6 linked regions of the Macaca fascicularis genome follow. The protein of the gene in region 1 interacts with the protein of each later gene in a pairwise test. Links are inferred from orthologs where the notes say so. Each region holds a gene or a part of one and is shown in the gene's direction. Other genes may lie near its edges. The genes, in order: TTC23, CREBZF, LZTS2, MAGED1, TRIM54 and TRIM10.

Region 1 (3,500 bases):
TCAGATATGCATTATGTTAAAAAATAACTCTCTGACGTTGTAATTATAGGTGGGTGAGCTGAAGATTCAGAATTTTTAGTATTTCATTACGATTGCAGTTACACAGCCAGGATTAAAATTCGTGAATATTTTATTTCCTGCCCAGAATGCTGTAGTTCTTGTATTCAATTTGTTTCTTATAATTATATGTAACATATTTTACTTCTGATATTGGTGAAGTTTCAAAGTTGTTCAATTCCAGCTCATTCTGTTTATTTCTAAAAAGGCCATTGGGGGAAAATTTATCTTGAGTACTTGGTATAAAACACTTCTTTGGTTGTTACAGTCACGACAGTGTTTCATGCTGCCCAGATACATCTCCATGTGCCATTTGACAATATGTGAAGGAGACCTTGTTAGATTCTCAGACTGTAGAGAACTGTATTCCTGTCCAGTTGAGATGAAAGAGAAACTGAGACCTCTTTTTCTTTGTCCACAGGACTGTCACTGCAAGCGAAACAACATGCAGAAAAAGCCAAACAAATCCTCGCCAACTCCATTGTGCCTCCCTATAACGAGAATACAGATGTTTTCAAGTTTTCCATTGAGCTTTTCCATACCATGGGCAGAGCTTTACTCTCCCTTCACAAGTATCCTTTTGCCTCTAACTTTTACAAATAGAAATACTATTCATATAATACTTATATGCCAAGTAAAAAGCTGATGCTGATGGATGACTTAGGAAGTGTGATTGGAAGTATGGGAACCAAGGAAGTTCAGGACATGGGGTGTAGAATCTAGAACCAAGTGGAAAGTTTCCTGAACACAATTTAGTTTTAAGGAAGCTTCAGAGAATTTGACAAAAGCAGAGAGACTTTCAAAGGAGCTGCTACAATGTGGAAGGATTATAAAGGAAGAATGGATAGAAATTGAAGCACGGATCAGATTATCATTTGCACAGTAAGTTTCAAGTTTAGGATTTTGCTTACATGATGGCTGGAGGCTCTTTGCCAGTAGAATCTGTCTCAGGTAGGAGGAGCATCTCCATGAGGCTGCGGCTATGGCTTCTCCGGAGGCCACTGTGTAAAAGTAAAAGAGGAGCACAGTCATGTCAGAGCAGCCCCAACCAAGGCATCCATCAGTGACACTTTTCACTCTCTATGGAGTGCCCTCATATCCACCCTGGGTCCCAGAGTTCTGATCATTATTCTCTTGACTTTCTTTTTACCTGCTCTCCCTCCTCACCCCCAGCCCCTACACCCTTCTCTTCCTCCCTCCATTCCTTTTTTCCCTGCCCTGCTCTGGTCTAAAATGCTTCAACGGGTTGCTTTTATGATGAAAACCTAAAAGGAGAAAGATCTTAAACTATCTGAATCCATGATAATGAAAGGATTGTTCTTTGTTCCTCGCCTTACTCCATACTCACCAAGTAAACTCAGCTGGAAGAGATATGAAGAGAAGGTTCTGCATAGTTAGTACTTTTATCTCTCTCCAAAGGGCAACCTAAGCCAATTCCTCAGAGTATTGGGGTGACAAAGTTTGCCCACACTCTTTGGAAAGATGGACTTGTGCAGAGGAAAAGATGAAGAAAGGTCTGTGTTGGAAGAGGCAGAGAATCCCAGTTGACCTACATGGCTTCCCTCAGCCAAACCTGGAAGAGTTCAGTTTACCTTCCTAACTAGATTGTATGTGTAGGTTGATTCCCAAGACAACTCAGAGAACCCACGGAATCATTTTAAGAAAATTGCTAGGAAAGGGCCCCAGGAGAACACACCTAATGCTTCCATGTGAATGGAAAGTGGGAAGAACCAACTTTGACTCATCCAGTTAAAGGTATTTCTTTTGTGATCACAATTCCCCTTGTTCTTTTGTTTTTCTTGAGTGGTTTTTGAACTGCAAGTGCAGAGCTCATTCATCTGTGCAAATTCTCCGGTATGGATTTTTAAATTAATTTTTTCCCTTCATTTCTGATTTTTTCTCTCATTCTCCTACACACACATCATAGATAAATACTTTAATGATGGCTTATGTTTTTGAGTATGTATCTCTGAGTAACAAATAGTATTGTTTTACATATTTATGTGTTTAAAATTGCTATAAATTTGGCTGAGCACAGTGGCTCACACCTGTAACCCCAGCACTTTGGGAGGCTGAGGCAGGTGGATCACAAAGTCAGGAGTTCAAGACCAGCCTTGCCAACATGGTGAAACCCCATCTCTACTTAAAAATACAAAAATTAGCTGAGCATGGTGGCGCATGCCTGTAATCCCAGCTACTCAGGAGGCTGAGGCAGGAGAAATTGCTTGAACCTGGGAGGCAGAGGCTGCAATGAGCCGAGACCTCACCACTGCACTTCAGCCTGGGCGACCGAGTAGGACTCTGTCTCAAACAAAAAGAATGGAAGAAAGGAAGAAAGGGGCGGGGGGGGTGGGAGAGAGAGAAAGAGAAAGAGAGAAAGAAAGAGAAAATTCCTATAAATTTGTAGCATATGTGTCATTCTGCTTGTTACTGTTTTCCACTCAACATGTTTTGATTGTTGCCTGGATTTTAGTTCATTGCTTCTGGTTCCTGTATAATTCTCCATAAAATGCATTTGTTGCGTTTTGTTTGTCCATCCTCCTAACAATAGACATTCAGCTTGTCCCCAGCTCTCTGCTGCCACAGCAGTGCTGCCATGACCATTCTTACACAGCTTCACTTATATGGCTAAGCGACACTTTTTCTAAGGTTTATATCCCAGGGGTGGTATTGCTTTTCTGAGGTTTATATTCCAGGGGTGGTACTGAGTACAAACAAACTTTAAGTGCACCAAGCACCAGCCAACCACGACACCCATCTGCATTTGCATTCCCACTTGCAGAGCGGGTGGGTTCCTAGCACACCCCTGGCAATATTTGACATTGTTGATCTTTGCCAACCTGGTGCATATAACGTGCTATCTAATTATTTAAGTTCTGTTTATATTTCTCCTATTAGTGAGTTTGAATACTTTTCATATACATCTTAGCCACTTGGGATTCTCCTTCTATGAATTGCCTGTTAGTATTCCTTCTCATTTTTATTTTACAGTTTCCTGTACCTTTCCTATTGATAATCAGGGTTTTCTTGTATATTATAAATATTAATGATATAAATATTTTCTTATATCTATTGCCCACTTATTAATTTTGTCTATGGTGTTCTTCATGGCTTAGAAATTATTATTATTTTGCTTCACTCAAATCCATTCATTTTCACCTTATGATTTATGCTCTGGGAGTCTGGTTAGAAAGTCTTTTCCAGCTAAATATCAAAAATATTCTCTAAAATTTCCTTCCAAGACCTACTTTAACTCTACTCCGTATATTTTATCATGAAGCGTTAGCACTGTCATAACTTCTTAGTATTTCATAACTCCATTTATAAATTATTCTTTAGTCCAAGGATTATTCAATGATGTGTGTTTTGGTTTGCAGTTATGAGAGTTTTCAAGATATCTTGATGTTACTGATTTTTAATTGTATTGCGTTGTTATATATATC
Region 2 (4,210 bases), on another chromosome or scaffold:
TTTAAGAACTAGAAAAGTGGTTAAAGAATTCATATATACTTTACTTATGAACAAAGGAAAATTCATTTCTCTTTTTTTGTTTGGGCTGTCAGGAAACAATTTTAGCCCAACTCAAACAACTGAGTAAGATATTGCATCCATCCAATTCCAATATTAACCGTTTCCCCTTTCAGAACTCCTTCTCTTCCTAGTTCATCTTTTTTTTGGCCTTGCTTTTTAAAAATTCAAAATGTTTTGTTTTACTATATTCTAATGTACTTGTAAACTGCTTCAAATCTCAGATCTCTTGTGGGATATGAACCTAAATATCTGTATTTGTAAACTGCTTCAAATCTCAAATCCCTTGTGGGATGTGAACCTAAATAACAAACAGAAAAGGTCTCTAAAATAAAAGATGTGCATTGAAAATAGAGCATTTCAATGGGAAAACGCATGCCATAGTAAACTATGTGTGTATGCAGGAAGACGAAGGAAGACAAAGGGTTTTAAAGGAAAAAAAATGAGGATGGTTACACATTGTTTTGAAATAATTATCTTGACTACAAAGGTCAATAACAAGGGTGACGTCAGTTCAAGGTTGGACAGGCAGCTTCTGGGCAGACATCCTTGCAGAGGTTTTGTATAAGGTCGTGATGGTTTTTGTGCAACGTTGTAGTTTTGCAGTCTTTGTTTTCAGGCATACAAGTATGAGTACCCTCTCTTCATAGCCTTTTCTGGCTCTATTTGTCAGAGTTTTTGTTCGTTACCCAAATGCAGTAAGTCAGTACTGATTGGATCTTGGCTCAAGTGAAAATACCTACTTGTAAAAAATGGCATGAACAACCGAAGACAATTTTTGTAAGGAACGTTGTATTCTACATTCCTTTTTTTTTTTTTTAATTGACAAATAATAACTGTCACATTCATGGGGTACATAGTGATGTTTCCATACATATGGAATGTAGTGATCAGGTTAGGGTAATTAGCATATCCATTATCCAACTGAGGACATCTAGTATGGCCCAGGTATTAAATAGTATTAGTAAACGATTGTTAATTTTCTGAAGACTTGGTAATAGTATTATGATTATGAAAAAAAGTCCTTAGTTTTAGAGATGCACACTGAAGTACGCAGGGGTGTGGTGTCTTACCTGCAACTTTAGGATGATTCAGCAAAAAAAATTTACAAGCATTTATGTAAAGATAAAGCAAATATGGCAAAACAATGTGTTGAACTGTTGAGTCTGGGTATTGGGCGGTATTATTGAATTAGGGTGGATAAATCTAGAGTCTGTTGTTATTTTTGCTGCAGTTATTATGATGTCACTAGAAAGCTGGAATTATTCCCACTCCAAAGCACCCTAAAACCTCGCGATATTACGGCCTGGTGGCGCGCGAAACGCGGTGGGCGGGGCTGGGGCGAAAACCACTGACTTCCGGCCAGGCCGTTGTCTGGGTGGTGCGGTCGAGTCATCAGTGGGCCTCACCGCTTCTTTCTCCCGACCCTTCCTGCGCCCTTGCGCGGGGGGTCGACTAGCCAACTGAGGCGGGAGGCTACTCGGACCTTTCCCTGCATTTCGTTTCGGCCAGTGCCGGGGGCTACCCGCCCTGGGGCGCGGGATCCTTGGGGCCCGTGAGGCCCACTCTTAGCGGCCAGGGCCTACCGCGGCCCGCCGCCGGCCCTCATGAGGCATAGCCTGACCAAGCTGCTGGCAGCCTCGGGCAGCAACTCCCCAACCCGCAGTGAGAGCCCAGCCCCGGCTGCAACCTGCTCGCTGCCCTCGGACCTCACCCGGGCGGCAGCGGGGGAGGAGGAGACAGCAGCGGCCGGATCTCCCGGCCGCAAGCAGCAGCTTGGCGACGAAGGGGAGTTGGAAGCCGGGAGGGGGAGCCGCGGCAGGGTGGCCGTGCGCGCGCCCTCGCCCGAGGAGATGGAGGAGGAAGCGATCGCCAGCCTCCCCGGAGAAGAAACGGAGGATATGGACTTTCTGTCTGGGCTGGAACTGGCGGATCTCCTGGACCCCCGGCAACCGGACTGGCACTTGGACCCCGGGCTTAGCTCGCCGGGGCCTCTCTCCTCGTCTGGCGGAGGCTCGGATAGCGGCGGCCTGTGGAGAGGGGAGGATGACGATGAGGCCGCGGCTGCTGAAATGCAGCGCTTCTCTGACCTGCTGCAGAGGCTGTTAAACGGTATCGGAGGCTGCAGCAGCAGCAGTGACAGTGGCAGCGCCGAAAAGAGGCGGAAAAAGTCTCCAGGAGGCGGCGGTGGCGGCAGCGGTAACGACAACAACCAGGCGGCGACAAAGAGTCCCCGGAAGGCGGCGGCGGCCGCTGCCCGCCTTAATCGGCTGAAGAAGAAGGAGTACGTGATGGGGCTGGAGAGTCGAGTACGGGGTCTGGCAGCCGAGAACCAGGAACTGCGGGCCGAGAATCGGGAGCTGGGCAAACGCGTACAGGCACTGCAGGAGGAGAGTCGCTACCTACGGGCAGTCTTAGCCAACGAGACTGGACTGGCTCGCTTGCTGAGCCGGCTGAGCGGCGTGGGACTGCGGCTGACCACCTCGCTCTTCAGAGACTCGCCCGCCGGTGACCACGACTACGCTCTGCCGGTGGGAAAGCAGAAGCAGGACCTGCTGGAAGAGGACGACTCGGCGGGAGGAGTCTGTCTCCATGTGGACAAGGATAAGGTGTCGGTGGAGTTCTGCTCGGCGTGCGCCCGGAAGGCGTCGTCTTCTCTTAAAATGTAGGGTCAAGTAATCTGCTCTTTATCCGCGTTTACCCCTTTCAACTCCCTTACACCATGTCAAACTTACCTTAGTGGGACATCTTCACCGGACACATTTCAGAGGAGAGAAAAAAAGTAATATTGAATCTTAAAGTGTTTAGCTAAAAGCATGAATGTGACACAGTAACCAACTCCTAATGATAACATGTGACTATTAAATCTCTCTGACAGTTTCTTTTTTAGGTGATTTCCTTCCTGCCAGGCTCCGTTGTAGGGGTTACAGAACAGTCGTTCCCGCCTCACAACCTGGTAAGGATCCATCTCTTCCCGTAACGCTCATGCTCTGCTGCTTAGTCTACTTTAATGGGCAACATCTCAGTCTGTGTGTGTGTGGTTTTTTTTTTTCCTGTTTTGGAAGGTGGGAGGGAAATCTAATTTGGGCCCTGTCCACCCTGGAAACAGACTTGTGCTGGTCAAGAATGTATTTAAGATGCCTCTTCTGGTTGAAATAGCTATTAATGTGTCCCCTTATTCAGACTTGCGTGTACCTAGCTCTTCTGTCCCCAGTGTGGACATGGCCTTGGATGACATCGGTTCCAACTGTACACTGAAACCTGCTTATAGAGATACAGTTTGGAGACAGTGAAACAGGTGAAGTTGAATGGAAGTTCCGAGTTGTACAAGGTGCAAATTGGAATTCCGATTTTAGGGCAACTTTTCAGAGGTTGACAATAAGTATTTGGGGCATGCACAAATGTGATAGTTATTTTGCTGGAGGTGACAGGTACCTCTGAAATATCAATGCCTTTTAGTTTTCAGTAGGAGATATAGAAACAGTCTATACGGAGTAACAGATTTTAGTATCTCACCATTAGAGAAGTTGGAAATTAACATGCATATCAGACTTCTGTGTTTTAGTTACTTCGAGAATAAGAATGGTTAATATTTCTTTGAGGACCAGCAGTGATTACCCTATCACTGAGTATGAATAAATTGTTGAACATCTTTATTTTTGTTGTATTAAAATTTTAGGTTAAATTTATATATGTATGATTAGATATTGAAGGTTGTGAAATGTGAATGAAAACGTGTAAAGTGAGGCTTCACAAAGAATCTTATTCTCTGTATTTCAAAAGTATTTGTCTTATTTTAGAATAATTTTTTAAATTGAGTGCTTCTGGCCACTTAAATAACACGATTGGCACTATTTTCCCAAAGGTGGGATTTATTCTTCCCTTGAATCTATTAACCATTTGTATAAATTGAGTTATGGTGTCCTTCAGTGTAAGAGGCATTAAGAAATTCTTTGTGAAACATCACTGCTTGATAAAGTATATACGTATTTAGCATCCTTGTTTTTCTTTGTGCTAAAGTGGATACAGCTGTTGGGGCAGAAGAGACGGGACCAGCTGCTGGCCACATTTCCTGCTTTATTTTAAAAGGTAGTATAAGAAATGAGGAAAAAGAGGTAATATCAGGGCTTCTGCTGTTTTTTATTTTTAAAAT
Region 3 (3,500 bases), on another chromosome or scaffold:
GTCCCTGCCTAGCTTCATGGGTCCTCGGGCCACCGGGCTGTCTGGGAGCCAGGGCAGCCTGACACAGCTGTTTGGGGGCCCTGCCTCCTCCTCCTCTTCTTCCTCCTCCTCTTCAGCTGCTGACAAACCCCTGGCATTTAGTGGCTGGGCCAGTGGCTGCCCATCAGGGACGCTATCCGACTCTGGCCGAAACTCACTGTCCAGCCTGCCCACCTACAGCACCGGAGGTGCCGAGCCAGCCACCAGCTCCCCAGGCGGGCACCTGCCTTCCCATGGCTCTGGGCGAGGGGCACTGCCTGGGCCAGCCCGAGGGGTCCCTACTGGGCCCTCCCACTCAGACAGTGGCCGGTCCTCCTCCAGCAAGAGCACAGGCTCCCTGGGGGGCCGTGTGGCTGCCGGGCTTTTGGGCAGTGGTACCCGGGCCTCCCCTGACAGCAGCTCCTGTGGGGAGCGCTCACCACCACCCCCGCCTCCACCTCCTTCCGACGAGGCCCTGCTGCACTGTGTCCTGGAAGGAAAGCTCCGAGAGCGGGAGGCAGAGCTTCAGCAGCTGCGGGACAGTCTGGACGAGAATGAGGCTACCATGTGCCAGGTGTGGTCAGAGGCAATGATGGGGAAGGGGCATGGCAGGACATCCCAAGGCCTGGGGAATGAAAGGGGCATTTCCATTTTAGCAGGGAAGAGGGGTTGGGTAGTTGTAGTTGTGACCCCCCTGCCCTCCCCACCAGTTGTCTGGTTTAATTTGTGGAATAGCCAGACGTGGTGGCTCACATCTGTAATCCCAGCACTTTGGGAGGCCGAGGTGGGCGGATTGCTTGAGCTCGGGAGTTTGAGACCAGCCTGGGCAACATGGGGAAACCCCATCTCTCCTAAAAATAAATTAGCTGAGTGTGGTGGCATGTACCTGTAGTCCCAGCTATTTGGGAGGCTGAGGTAGGAGGATCACTTGAGCCCAGGAGGAGGAGGTTACAGTGAGCTGACATTTTGCCATTGCACTCTAGCCTTGGGTAACAGAGCAAGACTGTATCTCAAAACAAGAAACAAAAAACAAAACTTGTGGGGTGGAAAGGAGTCAGAGTGCATGGATTCAAACCTCCCACTGCTAAATACCAGTTTTTGGACTTGAGCAAGTTGCTTAACTTTATTCAGCCTCTATTTCTTCATCTATAACAGGGATATTTCTAGCTTCATAGGATTGTTATGAGGATTAAATAAGGCAAAAGGTGTAAAGTGCTTAGACTAATGCCTGGTATCTAGGAAATGCTATACATAAATGCTTGCTTTTTTTTTTTTTTTTTTGAATTTTTAGTAGAGACGGGGTTCCCACCATGTTGGCCAAGCTGGTTTCGAACCCCTAGCCTCAAGTGAGGCACCCGCCTCAGCCTCCCAAACTGCTGGGATTACAGGCCTGAGCCACTGCACCCGGCCAAGTGCTTTTTTTTTTTTTTTTTTGAGACAGGGTCTCATTCTCTCACCCAGGCTAGAGTGCAGTGGCGCGATTTCGGCTCCTTGTAGCCTCAACCTCCTGGACTCAAGCAGTCCTCCCACCCCAGCCTCCCAAGTAGCTGAAACTACAGGCACACGCCACCACACCAAGCTAATTTTTGTTCTTTGGAGAGGCAAGGTTTTGCTGTGTTGCCTAGGCTGGTCTCGAACTCCGGAGCTTAAGTGATCCACCCACCTCGGCTTCCCAAGATGCTGGGATTACAGGCGTGAGGCACCGAGCCCGGTCTGCTTGCTCTTGTGTTTGTTTCTATGATCATTATAAAAGCAGTTAGTATTGTTGCAATTACTATTGTTGTTTGATGGAATACACCCTTCCTGAGCCCTCAGAAGTGGGCCGCCAGGCAGACACTGAGTGGGGAGTTGGGAAAACTGCCCAGGAGCTGGGTCTGTCTTCTCGCCTGCAGGCATACGAGGAGCGGCAGCGGCACTGGCAGCGAGAGCGCGAGGCCCTGCGAGAGGACTGTGCAGCCCAGGCACAGCGGGCACAGCGGGCCCAACAGCTGCTGCAGCTGCAGGTGTTCCAGCTGCAGCAGGAGAAGCGGCAATTGCAGGATGACTTTGCACAGCTGCTGCAGGAGCGTGAACAGCTGGAGCGGCGCTGCGCCACCTTGGAGCGGGAGCAGCGGGAGCTCGGGCCAAGGCTTGAGGAGACCAAGTGGGAGGTGGGCCAGACCAGGAGGGGCAGGGAGCAGGGTCACACAGGGAGAAACCCTGGAAAAAGGGGCCCAGCCGCACCCTCCCTCAGCCTGCCACCCCCAGAGGTCCTCCCCTTCCTCACCTCCGTGAGATGAAGTTCTCCTCTGTTCCTTTCTGGGAGGAGGGTCTCCTTGTTGGCCTTGTCTAGTGGCACAAAGCCACGCTCCAGCCAGTAGTAAGAATGTGGTGTTTGTGGTGTGGAGGCACTCTTCTAAGCATGTTACATGGGACAGATCATTTCATCCTTGTAACAACACTGAGGGGGCTACCACTAGTCTCCCCATTTTAGAGATGAGTAAACTGAGGCCCAGAAAGACTGGAGTGCCAAATCTGAACCCAGGCAGTCTGGCTCCAATATCTGAGCTCTTAACCAAGTCACTGTAGTACCTCTCCAGTAGACACCTGGGTACTGCCCTCCATTGCCCCCACTCCTGCAGCACCTGCCAGCACCCAGTCCCCAGGGCTCGGTGGTACTTCCACAGTGTCTCGTGATGCTTTGAAGACACCAACTTTGAAGCAAAAAAATCTATGTCTGCTTTCCACTTAAGCCACATCTTCACTCTATGACCTTGGACATGTCACTAGACTTGCCTCAGTGTCTCCATCTATAAAATGGGGATAAAGATGGACTCTCCTCCCGAATGCCCAGCATGATGCACAGGGCCTGTCCCCCCAGGAGAACCTGTCTCACCATCCTTCCCCACTGCCTCCCACCCCCAGGTGTGCCAGAAATCAGGCGAGATCTCCCTGCTGAAGCAGCAGCTGAAGGAGTCTCAGGCAGAGCTGGTGCAGAAGGGCAGCGAGCTGGTGGCCCTGCGGGTGGCACTGCGGGAGGCCCGTGCTACCCTGCGGGTCAGTGAGGGCCGTGCGCGGGGTCTACAGGAGGCCGCCCGAGCTCGGGAGCTGGAGCTGGAAGCCTGTTCCCAGGAGCTGCAGCGACACCGCCAGGAAGCCGAGCGGCTGCGGGAGAAAGCTGGGCAGTTGGATGCTGAGGCGGCTGGACTCCGGGAGCCGGCTGTGCCACCTGCCACCGCTGACCCATTCCTCCTGGCAGAGAGTGATGAGGCCAAAGTGCAGCGGGCAGCAGCCGGGGTTGGGGGCAGCTTGCGGGCCCAGGTGGAGCGATTGCGGGTGGAGCTGCAGCGGGAGCGGCGGCGGGGTGAGGAGCAGCGGGACAGCTTTGAAGGGGAGCGGCTGGCCTGGCAGGCAGAGAAGGAGCAGGTGATCCGCTACCAGAAGCAGCTGCAGCACAACTACATCCAGATGTACCGGCGCAACCGGCAGCTAGAGCAGGAGCT
Region 4 (3,339 bases), on another chromosome or scaffold:
AACTTCCACCTCCTAGGTTCAAGCAATTCTTGTGCCTCAGCCTCCTGAGTAACTGGGACTTCAGGTGCCTGCCACCATGCCCGGCTGTTTTTGTATTTTTAGTAGAGATGGGACTTCACCATGTTGGCCAGGCTGGTCTCAAACTCCTGACCTCAAGCAATTCACCCACCTCTGCCTCCCAAAGTGCTGGGATTACAGGTGTGAGCCATCATGTCCAGCCAGAATTCTTCTAATTTTTCTACTTTTCTAAGTAGTTGTCTTGCAAGTGAAGCCCATCCACCATCCCCACAGTAGACATTCCCAAGGCTGGGCCAGGCTGACACTTTTGCACTACATTGTAATCATTTCAATGGACCTCTGTGGCTCACTGACAAGATTACAAAAATCTGGAGCTAGAGCTGAGGCAGAAGGAGTGAAATGAAATGTTGTCCTTTCTGTGACCCTATACAAACGTCGCCTGCAGCTCTAAGTGAGTGCTTAGTGTTCTGGTGCAGGAATTCAAGGCTTGATGATTAAGGGGTAAATACCCTGATGGTGTTCAGGAATGAGCCCGAGGGGGAGTTGCTATTTGAAATCTGATGTTAAAAAATGTAGGATTATTTTTCATTACTGGACTACCATTCTGCCCGGGTAGGTAGACACAAAGACTGTTTTGCTCTTTCAGATACCTGGACTACAGACGAGTGCCCAACAGCAACCCCCCAGAGTATGAGTTCCTCTGGGGCCTCCGTTCCTACCATGAGACTAGCAAGATGAAAGTGCTGAGATTCATTGCAGAGGTAATGTGCCAACCAGCATTGATAGGTCAAGGGATGAAGTATCGCTGGCTGGGAAAGGTCCAGGGTAGGAATGAGATCCTAGGTATGGCACGTGATAGGTGCTGCATTGCTGGTGGTATTTGTTGTTGTTGTTAGGTAAACTTAACATGCATTAGGTGCTAACATATGTTAATATATTAGCTAATACAATTATGAGTTTGTTTTGGTTTTTTTTTTTTTTAGGTTTTTAAAGTATTTTTATTTTTTCCCAACTTTACTAAAGTATAATTGACAAAAATTGTATATATTTATGGTGTACAATGTAATTTTTAAGTATTTTGTTTTGTTTTATTTATTTATTTTCTCCTGAGATGGAGTTTTGCTGTGTTGCCCAGGCTAGAGTGCAGTGGCGCGATTTTGGCTCACTGAAACCTCTGCCTCCCGGGTTCAAGCGATTCTTGTGCCTCAGCCTCCCAAGTATCTGGGATTACAGGCACGTGCCACCACCATGCCTGGCTAAATTTTTATTTTTCTATTAGAGACAGGGTTTCGCCATGTTAGCCAGGCTGGTCTCGATCTCCTGACCTCAAGTGATCTGCCTGCCTCAGCCTCCCGAAGTGTTGGGATTACAGGCGTGAACCACTGTACCCAGCACATTCATTTATTTTTAATTGACTAATAAAAAGTATATATATTTATGGGGCACAGTATGATGTTTTGATAATACATGTCATGTACATTGCGGAATGATTATATCAAGCTAGTTAACTCTCCGTAGCTTCATATACTTGACATTTTTTTTTTGTGATGAGAACATTTAAAATGTACTCTTTTAGCAATTTTAAATAAACAACATATTATTATTAACTATAGTCATCATGCTATATGGTCAATCTCCAGAACATACTCTTCCTATCTAACTGAAATTTTGTACCTTTTAACCAATATTTCCCCATCCCTCCTGACCCCAGGCCCTGGAAACTATCATTCTACTCTCTGTTTCTATGAGTTAGACCTTTTTAGATTCCATGTATAAGTGAAGTCATGCAGTATTTGTCTTTCTGTGTCTGACTTACTTCACTTAGCATAATGTCATCCAGCATCATCCATGTTGTTGCAAATGGCAGAATTTCCTTCTTTTTAAAGGCTGAATAGTATTCCACTGTGTGTGTGTGTATCACATTTTCCTTATCCATTCATCCATTGATGGACACGTAGGTTGATTCCGTATCTTGGCTATTGTAAATAGATTTTGTTTTGTTTTCTATTCCTCATCTCAGGTTCAGAAAAGAGACCCTCGTGACTGGACTGCACAGTTCATGGAGGCTGCAGATGAGGCCTTGGATGCTCTGGATGCTGCTGCAGCTGAGGCCGAAGCCCGGGCTGAAGCAAGAACCCGCATGGGAATTGGAGATGAGGCTGTGTCTGGGCCCTGGAGCTGGGATGATATTGAGTTTGAGCTGCTGACCTGGGATGAGGAAGGAGATTTTGGAGATCCCTGGTCCAGAATTCCATTTACCTTCTGGGCCAGATACCACCAGAACGCCCGCTCCAGATTTCCTCAGACCTTTGCTGGTCCCATTATTGGTCCTGGTGGTACAGCCGGTGCCAACTTTGCTGCCAACTTTGGTGCCATTGGTTTCTTCTGGGTTGAGTGAGATGTTGGGTAGGTACATCACTTTGGATTGGGCAGTTAGGGTCTCTGGGGGATATAGGGTCCATGGGATTGTATTTATGTGCATGAGCTAGGAGTCTTAGGAAACTCATTGTAGGGAGGTGAGGAAAGTATGGGGCAGCACTCTTTGGTGTGTATATTCCTTATTATTTGATATATATCATTGATTTTTTTACTTTTTTTTCTTATGTTCACAGATATTGCTATCAATCGCAATAGTCTTTCCCCTGTGTGAGGCTGAAGCCTCAGATTCCTTCTAAACACAGCTATCTAGAGAGCCACATCGTGTTGACTGAAAGTGGCATGCAAGATAAATTTATTTGCTGTTCCTTGTCTACTGCTTTTTTTCCCCTTGTGTGCTGTCAAGTTTTGGTATCAGAAATAAACATTGAAATTGCAAAGTGAATTAGATGTGCTCTCTGCTTCTTTTTTTCCCTATATTTGGGGAGCGAGCAACATGTTTATGTGGGAGAGACAGGACCTCGGCTCTAGTTTGAAGGGGGTAGATCAGCTTTCAGCAGGTGGAAATATGGGAAGATCCAGCTACTGGATTGGGATACAAAGGCAGTATCAATGAACACGAGACCCAAGAACTTGTATAGTTTATTCAATAAATATCACTTAAGTGATTCTCATGTGACAGATATGCTGCTAGGTGTCCTGGAGTGACATTGCGAGAATTGCATAGTGAGAGAGGGTATAGGTGCTCAGACAGTTGCACTTAAGAACACAGCGGAGGTGGAACTCCAGGTGATGATAAAGTCCAGAGAGTAGGTAGTTGAAAGGGACAGAAGGTGACTATTCTGGAGATAAGGGGTCCATGGCCTGTGATTCTAGGGTGTTGGTTATACAACCCATGTGGAAAGTGAAATAACTCCAGGAGGGCAGCAGGAGTAGGAGCAGAGA
Region 5 (4,059 bases), on another chromosome or scaffold:
TCCTTTTCACATCTTATGCAGGCCAATTGACATATAATTTGTTCTCAAAAATAGGGGCATGAAATATGTGATCCGGAGAAGATTGCACTTTCTGGACTCTTTTCCCACTCTTGCCTCTTTGTGCTGCTGTTTCGTATCCTCCTCACACCGTGTATTTCCTACCCACTCAGGGTCACTAGCTACTAACTCCTCAGACTTCTCTTCCTGGACTGGGAGAAGGGCTAAAGAATGGCGGTAAATAAAAGAGCTTTTGTCCAATCCCAAGGCATATTTTGGACCCAGAAAAGACAAATTGTGTCTGGGGTGGAGGAAAAAGGCCTAAAGAAATTGCTTCTTGGCTTTTTGGCTAATATCAAGTGGAGAAAAAGACCTGTAGGAGAAAAAGAAGACCAGTGCTCACAACTGGGGCGAGCCTGGCTTGGAGAGGAGGAGTCCTGGACAACTGTGGAGCTGGGGCAGAGGCTTCCTGGAGCCTTATGATTATGACTTTGTCAGTGCTCTAAAATTTCCCTGGAGGTTGATTCCCTGGGTGCCCAAAATAGGTCCCTGGCATTCATGTCCTTTCTGCCCAGCTCACCTTCTCCCAATTTCCTAACAAATTTGAAGTCCTTAGAGTGGCTCCAGGGATGTGTTCACGAACCAGAATCCCACATTTCCTCGGGCGCATGCTCATAGGTAGGTCCAGGCCTTGGCACAGTACTCATTTCTAGCCTCTTGAGCTTCATTTCCTAGGGTGATATAAGAAAAGGCAGGCAAGAACAAAAATGAGCCAGAGGTATTGGACAAGAGGCTTGATGGAGTCTCTGGAGCTGCTGTTCTGAATCACACAGTCTTGAGGAGGAGGACCAGGGTCACTGGCTGAGCCTGTGGAGGAGGCAACTGCTACTGACTCTAAGTCTGGCAAGATCTTTCCTCCCACCCTGAGCTATGTATGGGTGCTTCTCACACAGGCAGATTTAGATTCTGTGTCACTGTCCTGGAAGAAGGGCCCAAGCCAGAGCAGGGGTCCTGGGCTCAGAGGAGCCTTCAGAGTGAGAGGGCAGCACCTTTGCTGACCCACCTTTCACCGTAAGCAGTGGTGCTTGCCCCTGCCCTTGCTCAGGGGAGTCACCCATTCCTGAGTGAGTCAGGGTCACTCACTCCGTGACAGCTGTGGCTCGCCTTACATGAGCTAAATTGGGAATTGGAATGTCATGCAGATGCCCCTTGTCTCCCCACCCCCACAGTAAAATTAATCTCCTCTCTGGGGAGTAAGGGACAAACAGTGCTACCCACAGAGTGAACAAGAGAGAGTCATTTGGGAAACAAAAGGAGGACTTTACAGAGAGAGAGGGATAGCTAAAACTACGTGAGCCTGCCGAGGGTGCAGAGCAGAAAGTAGAGACAGAAGTGTCTGAAGACTGCTATCTGGGACGAGACAAGTTGTTAAAGGGACAGGAGAGAGAGCAGAGCTATTTCAAGAGTGAGCCACAGAAGGGAATCCACAGGCCGTCTGAGTGAGGAAGGGTCTACAGACAGTGAGTGAAGGCCAGGAGCAGGACCCAAGCCAGGGTAGGCACAACCACCGAGGGGATGAACTTCACCGTGGGTTTCAAGCCGCTGCTAGGGGATGCACACAGCATGGACAACCTGGAGAAGCAGCTCATCTGCCCCATCTGCCTGGAGATGTTCTCCAAACCAGTGGTGATCCTGCCCTGCCAACACAACCTGTGCCGCAAGTGTGCCAACGACGTCTTCCAGGTGGGCGCCAGGGATGGGGCAGGGCCAGGTAAAGCAATGCAGACCTGTGGGGGACTGATCAGGTCAGAGCTAAGACCCCAGAAAGTGATGGATAGAGTGCTCTCTGAGGTAGGTGGTGGCTGTTGTGGCTGGAGAGCAGAAGGGCTGGGGTCCAAGCAAATCCCAGAGCAAGCATGAGTCAGCAGCTGCCCTGCAGGCTGGCAGGTACAGCCTGTCCATAGACGGCAGCTGGAGTGCTGGGATCTGCTGAGGAAAGGAGACCCTGTGGAAACTGGGAGGGAGGGGATCCTACACCGGCCTTTTAAGAGCCTGTGCCAGACTCTGCATTCCAGTTTGGAGTTTCACACTTTGAGAGCATTGCGGAAAATACGGAGAAAAGATTAATGAGATAATGAAACATTAAAAAACAAACAGAAAAAACCCAACCCTGTGAGAAAGCTCCATAATGGCAGTAAAACGATTCGTGTTTAAGGAAAGTTCAGGGCATCCGTTGTGGGGGACAGAGTTAGACGCAGTGGGCAGGAGACTGGGAACTCTCCCCAACTTGAGTTCATACCTGTTACCTCCAGATTGTTGAGTAAAGAGGCCTACTGGTTCAAAGCTATTGAGGTCACTTGACAAGAAGAGAGAAGGCAAAGAAATTTACTTTTAGAAGTCTAGCCAGTTTTGGTTTATTTGTGGTCATGGAGCCAAGCATAGCTAATCAAATTCACAGATACCATTTTAGCCACTGGTTTAGAAATAAAAGCTGCATATACCAGAATGGATTATAAGTGGGCTTTTTTTTCTTTTCCTGTGCTACCGGGGAGGTTCTAGTAGGCTATGAAATGGAACAGAGATCAGGGTGAGGGGCAAAGGCACACACACACACACACACACACACACACACACGCGGCCTTGCCGATTAAGCAAAAGCTCTGAATGTGGCCGGGCGTGGTGGCTCACGCCTGTAATCCCAGCACTTTGGGAGGCGAGGCCGGCGGATCACGAGGTCAGGAGTTCGAGACCGGCCTGGCCAATATGGTGAAACCCCATCTCTACCAAAAATACAAAAATTAGCTAGGCGTGGTGGCAGGCGCCTGTAGTCCCAGCTCCTCAGGAGGCTGAGGCAGGAGAATCACTTGAACCCAGGAGGCGGAGGTTGCCATGAGTCGAGATCATGCCATTGTACTCTGACCTGGGTGACAGAGCAAGACTCTGTCTCAAAAACACAAAAACAAACCCTGAATAGACCAGAGCTGGCTTAGTATGTGTGTCAGTGATACGGAACATCCCAAACAAGTATTCTTCAGTGTCAGAAATGATGAGGAAATGTGTTAAACACAAGGGATTTTTAACCTAACCAAGAAAATACTTCCCTCTTAAGTTCCTCGGGGCAGCTTGTTTGGGAAAGGAATGGACTGGCTAGGTCCCGCCATCCCACGATGTACCCTGTGACCCGCCCCTTGTATGTCTGCTGTGTGTCATCTTCACTGCAGACCAGCACTCTGTGGTCTCTCCTGCCATCTTCCCATTGAGGCCCATTCCCTCTCCTATTCTTTTATGTGTCCAAACCTGCCATTATTCAGCTCCAGAGTATCTCAGAGGCAGTAGATTTTCCGTCTCGGGGGACCCAGACCAAATGCTATGCCTCCTCATCCTGGGCATGAAGTCCTGCATGAGAGGCAATGCTTTGCCCACCATCTTGGTGTTTCCTTGGTCTGAGGAATTCCGAACATCCTTCAGGCTGAGATGCCTAGGAGGAAATGGCGGAAAGATTTTGCCATCATTTCTCATGAACTGACAGTGAAACATCCTCTCACTGGAACTTGAAATGTGTGAAAACAAAGAGAAGTTTTGAAAGTTAAGGTGACGTGTCCTATAGAAAAGTGGTCAGAATGTCCAAGAGCATTCCTGGGTGCCTCTGTCGTCTGGCAGAGGGGCCCAGGAGCAGTCCCCATACATGGAGGCTAGAATGTGTTCAAGTGACATGCTTGTTTAAGTCAACCCTTTCTACCCAAGCACACTGTTTCAGTTCCAGAAAGCTCTGGAATACTGATCTGGGCTCAGAGAGACCTTGGAATGGCTTGGGGCAAACCCTGTACAGAATATTTGGAGATAACGTGATACCCAGGGCTTTGGGGTGGCCCTGTGGGTCTGGAGTGATGTGTGTCGTTTGAGGTGCAGAGCAGCCCTGGCCCCTCCAAGGAGGAAGAGTGAAGAGCTCATCCCTTGCTGCTTATTTGGGAGGGCCTGGTGGGAGGCTGACCCAGTTCTTCAGCTGCACTCAAGTCTGTATATCTCAATATATCTCAGTAGATCTCCCTCGGAAAGATGAGC
Region 6 (4,263 bases), on another chromosome or scaffold:
CTCCTCCCCTTCCCACCCGATCTCTGCTTTTCCTGCCACAAGTGCAGCCCAGGAGCCAATTTGTCCAACACAGGAGCCACCAGTCACATGTGTCTACTGAGCACTGAAATGTGGCCGGTCTGAATGGCGGCGTGCTGTATATATAAAATACACACTGGATTTTTTTTTCTTTTTCTTTTTCTTTTTTTTGAGATGGAGTCTCGCTCTGTTGTCTAGGCTGGAGTGCATTGGTGCGATCTCGACTCACTGTAAGCTCTGCCTCCCGGGTTCACACTATTCTCCTGCCTCAGCTTCCCGAGTAGCTGGGACTACAGGTGCCCGCCACTACGCCCGGCTAATTTTTTTTGGTATTTTTAATAGAGACAGGGTTTCACCATGTTAGCCAGGATGGTCTCGATCTCCTAACCTTGTGATCCACCCACCTCGGCCTCCCAAAGTGCTGGGATTACAGGCATGAGTCACCGCGCCTGGCCAACACACTGGATTTCAAAGGCTTTGCACAAATTAAAAAATGTAAAATGTCTTATTAATAACTTTTTATAAGGATCACATATTGAAATGATAATATTTTGGAAATATAGGACCAAATAAAAAAATCATTAAAATTACTTTCACCTGTTTAGACTATTTTTATATGGCTCCTAGGAAATTTTAAATTGCATATGTGGCTCACATTGCATTTATGTTGAATGGCATTGCTTGGAAGACATAGATCTGACAGCAAATTATTTATGGTCACTCACCTTCTTACTTGTGTGCCTTGGGCAAGCTGAATAACCTGGCTGGGCCTCAGCTTTCTCATTTATAAAATGGAGATCCTAATAGCACTGATGTTGCAGAGCAGACACAAAAATAAGATCATACTTTTAAATTGCTTATATCAGTGTAAGATGTACCGTCATTGTAAATAAATTCTGGCCATTGCTAGTTTTCTTTCTCCTCCCCAGCATAGGGAATATTCCAGCCTCTTTCGAGGCTTGCGGCAGGCCAGTTGAGGCATCACCATTTCAGTTGCTGGTGCAGTGTACACCCTGGCACAAGGACCTTATCTGAGCCTCACACTCTCCTGCTTGCTGATGGGCAAGCCCTGGGCTGGCTGATACCTCCAATCTCTTTGGAGACAGCTGGCCATATTGCAGGAAGGCTGGAGTGGCATCTCCACTCTGTGACCCAGTCTCCCACCTGCCCCCAAAAGAATATTTCTTTTGACAGTGGACAGCTGACATATCACCACTTTCCTTCTACTGTGAGTGTATTTAGATGGACGGAAAGGAATGGCCAGCCCCTGGTTATGGTCATCTAAGATCACCTCTGAAATGCTGTGAGCCCCTCTTCCTTCCTCTCCTCTGCTATTTCCCATCTCTGCTGTTGGCAGGAGAATAGAATCCTGGCTGCCAGATATGCAAGTGTGTGACGATATGGGTGCTGGTGCATATTTAATATGTACCTGTGTCCAGCCATGTGCACATGTGGGTGTGTGAGTGTGTGGCCCAGCCCTTCCCCCGTGGCCAAGCGGAGAGGGTGGCCTTGAGGAAGCCATAGCAGCATGGCCTCTGCTGCCTCTGTGACCAGCCTGGCAGATGAAGTCAACTGCCCCATCTGCCAGGGTACCCTGAGGGAGCCGGTCACTATCGACTGCGGCCACAACTTCTGCCGGGGCTGCCTTACTCGCTACTGTGAGATCCCAGGCCCAGACCTGGAGGAGTCCCCTACTTGCCCACTCTGCAAAGAACCCTTCCGTCCTGGGAGCTTCCGGCCCAACTGGCAGCTGGCTAACGTGGTGGAGAACATCGAGCGCCTCCAGCTGGTGTCCACACTGGGTTTGGGAGAGGAGGATGCCTGCCAGGAGCACGGAGAGAAGATCTACTTCTTCTGTGAGGATGATGAGATGCAGTTGTGCGTGATGTGCCGGGAGGCTGGAGAGCATGCTGCCCACACTATGCGCTTCCTAGAGGATGCGGCGGCTCCCTATAGGGTAGGAAGGGGGAACTGGGGGATCCCAGGGTGGACTGGACAGCACTAACAGAAACAGCAGAGTTGTGGATTATTTAGGCCACCCGGAGGCCAAATTCTTTCTCCTGACTTACATGATCACCCAGGCAATAGACCCAGGCATGGAAAATTATGTTTATGTTTTATGTTTTTTTGAGTGTGTTCTGTATTCACTTGTGGCCAACAGATAATGGGAGTTCAACAAATACTTGTTGAATGAATGAGTGACCAGAACATGAGTGTGTATGTCTGTGCCATGGATCAGGTGTGTCTGAAGTTTGTATCTGAGGGAATGATTGTACAAACAGTGTGTATATGTGTTAACGTTTGCATGTTTAGATGTTTGCATGTTAACATGTTTGCATGTTAACATTTGCATGTGTGCCTGGTGTGTTTGTGTGGGAGTCTGAGTATGTATGTATTTGAGTGTGTGAGTGTAACTGAGAGCTCCTGTTTGTGAAAAATTCATGTTTACATATATTCAGGTTGGGTAAATATATGTGGCATGCCATTTTATCTGTCATTAAATGAGTGTGTGCTAGTTTTAGTTGTTTATGCATTATGTTTATGAATTGTGTTTTAGTACAAGTCTGTGTGTGGATGTCTTAATTAGTTAATTAGCAACTGATAGTGAGATTTCTAATATGTCTTTGAACACACATATTTATAATGTATGTGTACCTGTTCCTAACTCTATTCTGGAGCAAATAATTTTGAAAACAATTTATCAATTATTTTTACATTACCCAAGTTTCTTCTCCCCTTTGGAGTCATACACAGATAATTGATTCCAGTAACAAGGGAGGGTTATTATTTACACATGTTCCTTTGGGATGTGTTGGAAACTGGAATGATTTCAGTGCAGGGCATATCAAACTCAGGACAGACCCCAGATACCACTTACCCGAAGCAAAACACAATAGAATGTTTAACCTGAAGAAAGACTCAAGTGCGAAAACCAAGTCACAGCCTCTAGTGGCACAGGAGAAAGGGGAAAGTCCTGACCCAAAGTCGTGGAGACAAATCAAGAGGAACAGACCTAAAGGGACTAAGCTGTCAGGGTGGTGGAGGCTCGGGGATTGTCAGCTAAGGAAGAGACTCCTCTCCTGGGGCCACTTCATTCCTGGAGGCAGAGGCTCAGATGACAAGACAACCCTGAACAAATAAATATCCATCTTGAGTATTTTATGTTCCTTCTCCCCAGGAACAAATACATAAGTGTCTTAAATGTCTAAGAAAAGAGAGAGAGGAGATTCAAGAAATCCAGTCAAGAGAAAATAAAAGGATGCAAGTCCTCCTGGTAAGTCATCACCCCTTCCCCAGGTTCCTCCCCTTCCTCAAGGTCCAATGTCTTCCTGAAACTGAGGCAACATAGATTATAGGGCTTTGAAGTTATTATGAGTTTAAATCCTGACTCTGACACTAACTCTATGACCTCAAGCAACTCTCTAACTTCAGTTTACTTATCTGTAAAATGGAGAGTAAAAATCATCATGATCTCATTGAATTACTGTAAGTATTAAATGAGACTGTGACTGTAAAGTAGCTCAGGGCTGCGCACATAGTGTGCTTTTCATACAAGACAGGAGGTAGGGTGTCCCCACCACCTCCTCCTACACCTCCTGTAAGTCCTACCCTCTTTTAGAAGCTGCAGCAGATGGTGCTGAGACAGCACTGTGAGTCTTGCTCCCTGAAATGGGATGACAGGTGAAGAGGAAACCATGATACAGTTCCAGATCTACCTGGGGACAGGGTAGGAGGAAGAGGAGCAGAGGGAGAAGGAGGAAGCAAACTTTCTCTTGGGCTCTCCTCCTGCCCCCTCAGACTCAGGTGTCCACCAAGAGACAACAGGTGATTTCTGAGTTCGCACACCTGAGGAAGTTTCTAGAGGAACAGCAGAGCATCCTCTTAGCACAACTGGAGAGCCTGGATGGAGACATCTTGAAGCAACAGGATGAATTTGATTTCCTGGTTGCTGGAGAGATCTGCCGGTTTAGTACTCTTATTGAAGAACTGGAGGAGAAGAATGAGAGGCCAGCAAGGGAGCTCCTGACGGTGAGGCCTGAACCTGAACCCTGCCCCACCTGTGCTGTCCTGTGACTCTTGTATCTTTGCCTTGCCTAAGTCATGTCTCCCTGACTCACACATCTCCGTATCCCAGATGGGAGGTAGGTCAGAGGACCAGAAGGTCTCAATTCTGGTTCATGCTTTTCCAAGTGTTCCCTGGTCACTTTTTGCTCTTTGGTCTCCACCTCTCCATCCCACCATCTG

Evidence for each region.
Region 2: the proteins of TTC23 (region 1) and CREBZF interact in binary tests that used the Homo sapiens proteins (3 or more experiments, as listed by UniProt). The two-hybrid records come from large-scale screens. The link is inferred for Macaca fascicularis from reciprocal best matches to the Homo sapiens genes TTC23 and CREBZF.
Region 3: the proteins of TTC23 (region 1) and LZTS2 interact in binary tests that used the Homo sapiens proteins (3 or more experiments, as listed by UniProt). The two-hybrid records come from large-scale screens. The link is inferred for Macaca fascicularis from reciprocal best matches to the Homo sapiens genes TTC23 and LZTS2.
Region 4: the proteins of TTC23 (region 1) and MAGED1 interact in binary tests that used the Homo sapiens proteins (3 or more experiments, as listed by UniProt). The two-hybrid records come from large-scale screens. The link is inferred for Macaca fascicularis from reciprocal best matches to the Homo sapiens genes TTC23 and MAGED1.
Region 5: the proteins of TTC23 (region 1) and TRIM54 interact in binary tests that used the Homo sapiens proteins (3 or more experiments, as listed by UniProt). The two-hybrid records come from large-scale screens. The link is inferred for Macaca fascicularis from reciprocal best matches to the Homo sapiens genes TTC23 and TRIM54.
Region 6: the proteins of TTC23 (region 1) and TRIM10 interact in binary tests that used the Homo sapiens proteins (3 or more experiments, as listed by UniProt). The two-hybrid records come from large-scale screens. The link is inferred for Macaca fascicularis from reciprocal best matches to the Homo sapiens genes TTC23 and TRIM10.

What each region holds. Positions count from the first base shown.
Region 1 is NC_088381.1:84,112,750-84,116,249, reverse strand, and holds part of TTC23 (tetratricopeptide repeat protein 23), read left to right. Parts: intron 1-478; coding exon 479-629; intron 630-813; coding exon 814-939; intron 940-3,500. UniProt on the Homo sapiens protein: Participates positively in the ciliary Hedgehog (Hh) signaling.
Region 2 is NC_088388.1:84,705,634-84,709,843, reverse strand, and holds the start of CREBZF (CREB/ATF bZIP transcription factor), read left to right. Parts: upstream 1-1,410; 5' UTR 1,411-1,664; coding exon 1,665-2,722; coding exon of another isoform or gene 2,723-2,726; exon of another isoform or gene 2,727-2,839; intron 2,840-2,935; coding exon 2,936-2,951; 3' UTR 2,952-3,013; intron 3,014-3,240; 3' UTR 3,241-3,355; intron 3,356-4,077; 3' UTR 4,078-4,146; exon of another isoform or gene 4,147-4,210.
Region 3 is NC_088383.1:109,962,960-109,966,459, forward strand, and holds part of LZTS2 (leucine zipper putative tumor suppressor 2), read left to right. Parts: coding exon 1-592; intron 593-1,479; exon of another isoform or gene 1,480-1,910; coding exon 1,911-2,168; intron 2,169-2,922; coding exon 2,923-3,500. UniProt on the Homo sapiens protein: Negative regulator of katanin-mediated microtubule severing and release from the centrosome. Required for central spindle formation and the completion of cytokinesis.
Region 4 is NC_088395.1:51,968,158-51,971,496, forward strand, and holds the end of MAGED1 (melanoma-associated antigen D1), read left to right. Parts: intron 1-664; coding exon 665-779; intron 780-2,038; coding exon 2,039-2,416; 3' UTR 2,417-2,424; intron 2,425-2,630; 3' UTR 2,631-2,839; downstream 2,840-3,339. UniProt on the Homo sapiens protein: Involved in the apoptotic response after nerve growth factor (NGF) binding in neuronal cells. Inhibits cell cycle progression, and facilitates NGFR-mediated apoptosis. May act as a regulator of the function of DLX family members.
Region 5 is NC_088387.1:94,935,227-94,939,285, reverse strand, and holds the start of TRIM54 (tripartite motif-containing protein 54), read left to right. Parts: upstream 1-1,259; 5' UTR 1,260-1,572; coding exon 1,573-1,740; intron 1,741-4,059. UniProt on the Homo sapiens protein: May bind and stabilize microtubules during myotubes formation.
Region 6 is NC_088378.1:142,511,009-142,515,271, forward strand, and holds the start of TRIM10 (tripartite motif-containing protein 10), read left to right. Parts: upstream 1-1,463; 5' UTR 1,464-1,546; coding exon 1,547-1,975; intron 1,976-3,196; coding exon 3,197-3,292; intron 3,293-3,816; coding exon 3,817-4,047; intron 4,048-4,263. UniProt on the Homo sapiens protein: E3 ligase that plays an essential role in the differentiation and survival of terminal erythroid cells. May directly bind to PTEN and promote its ubiquitination, resulting in its proteasomal degradation and activation of hypertrophic signaling.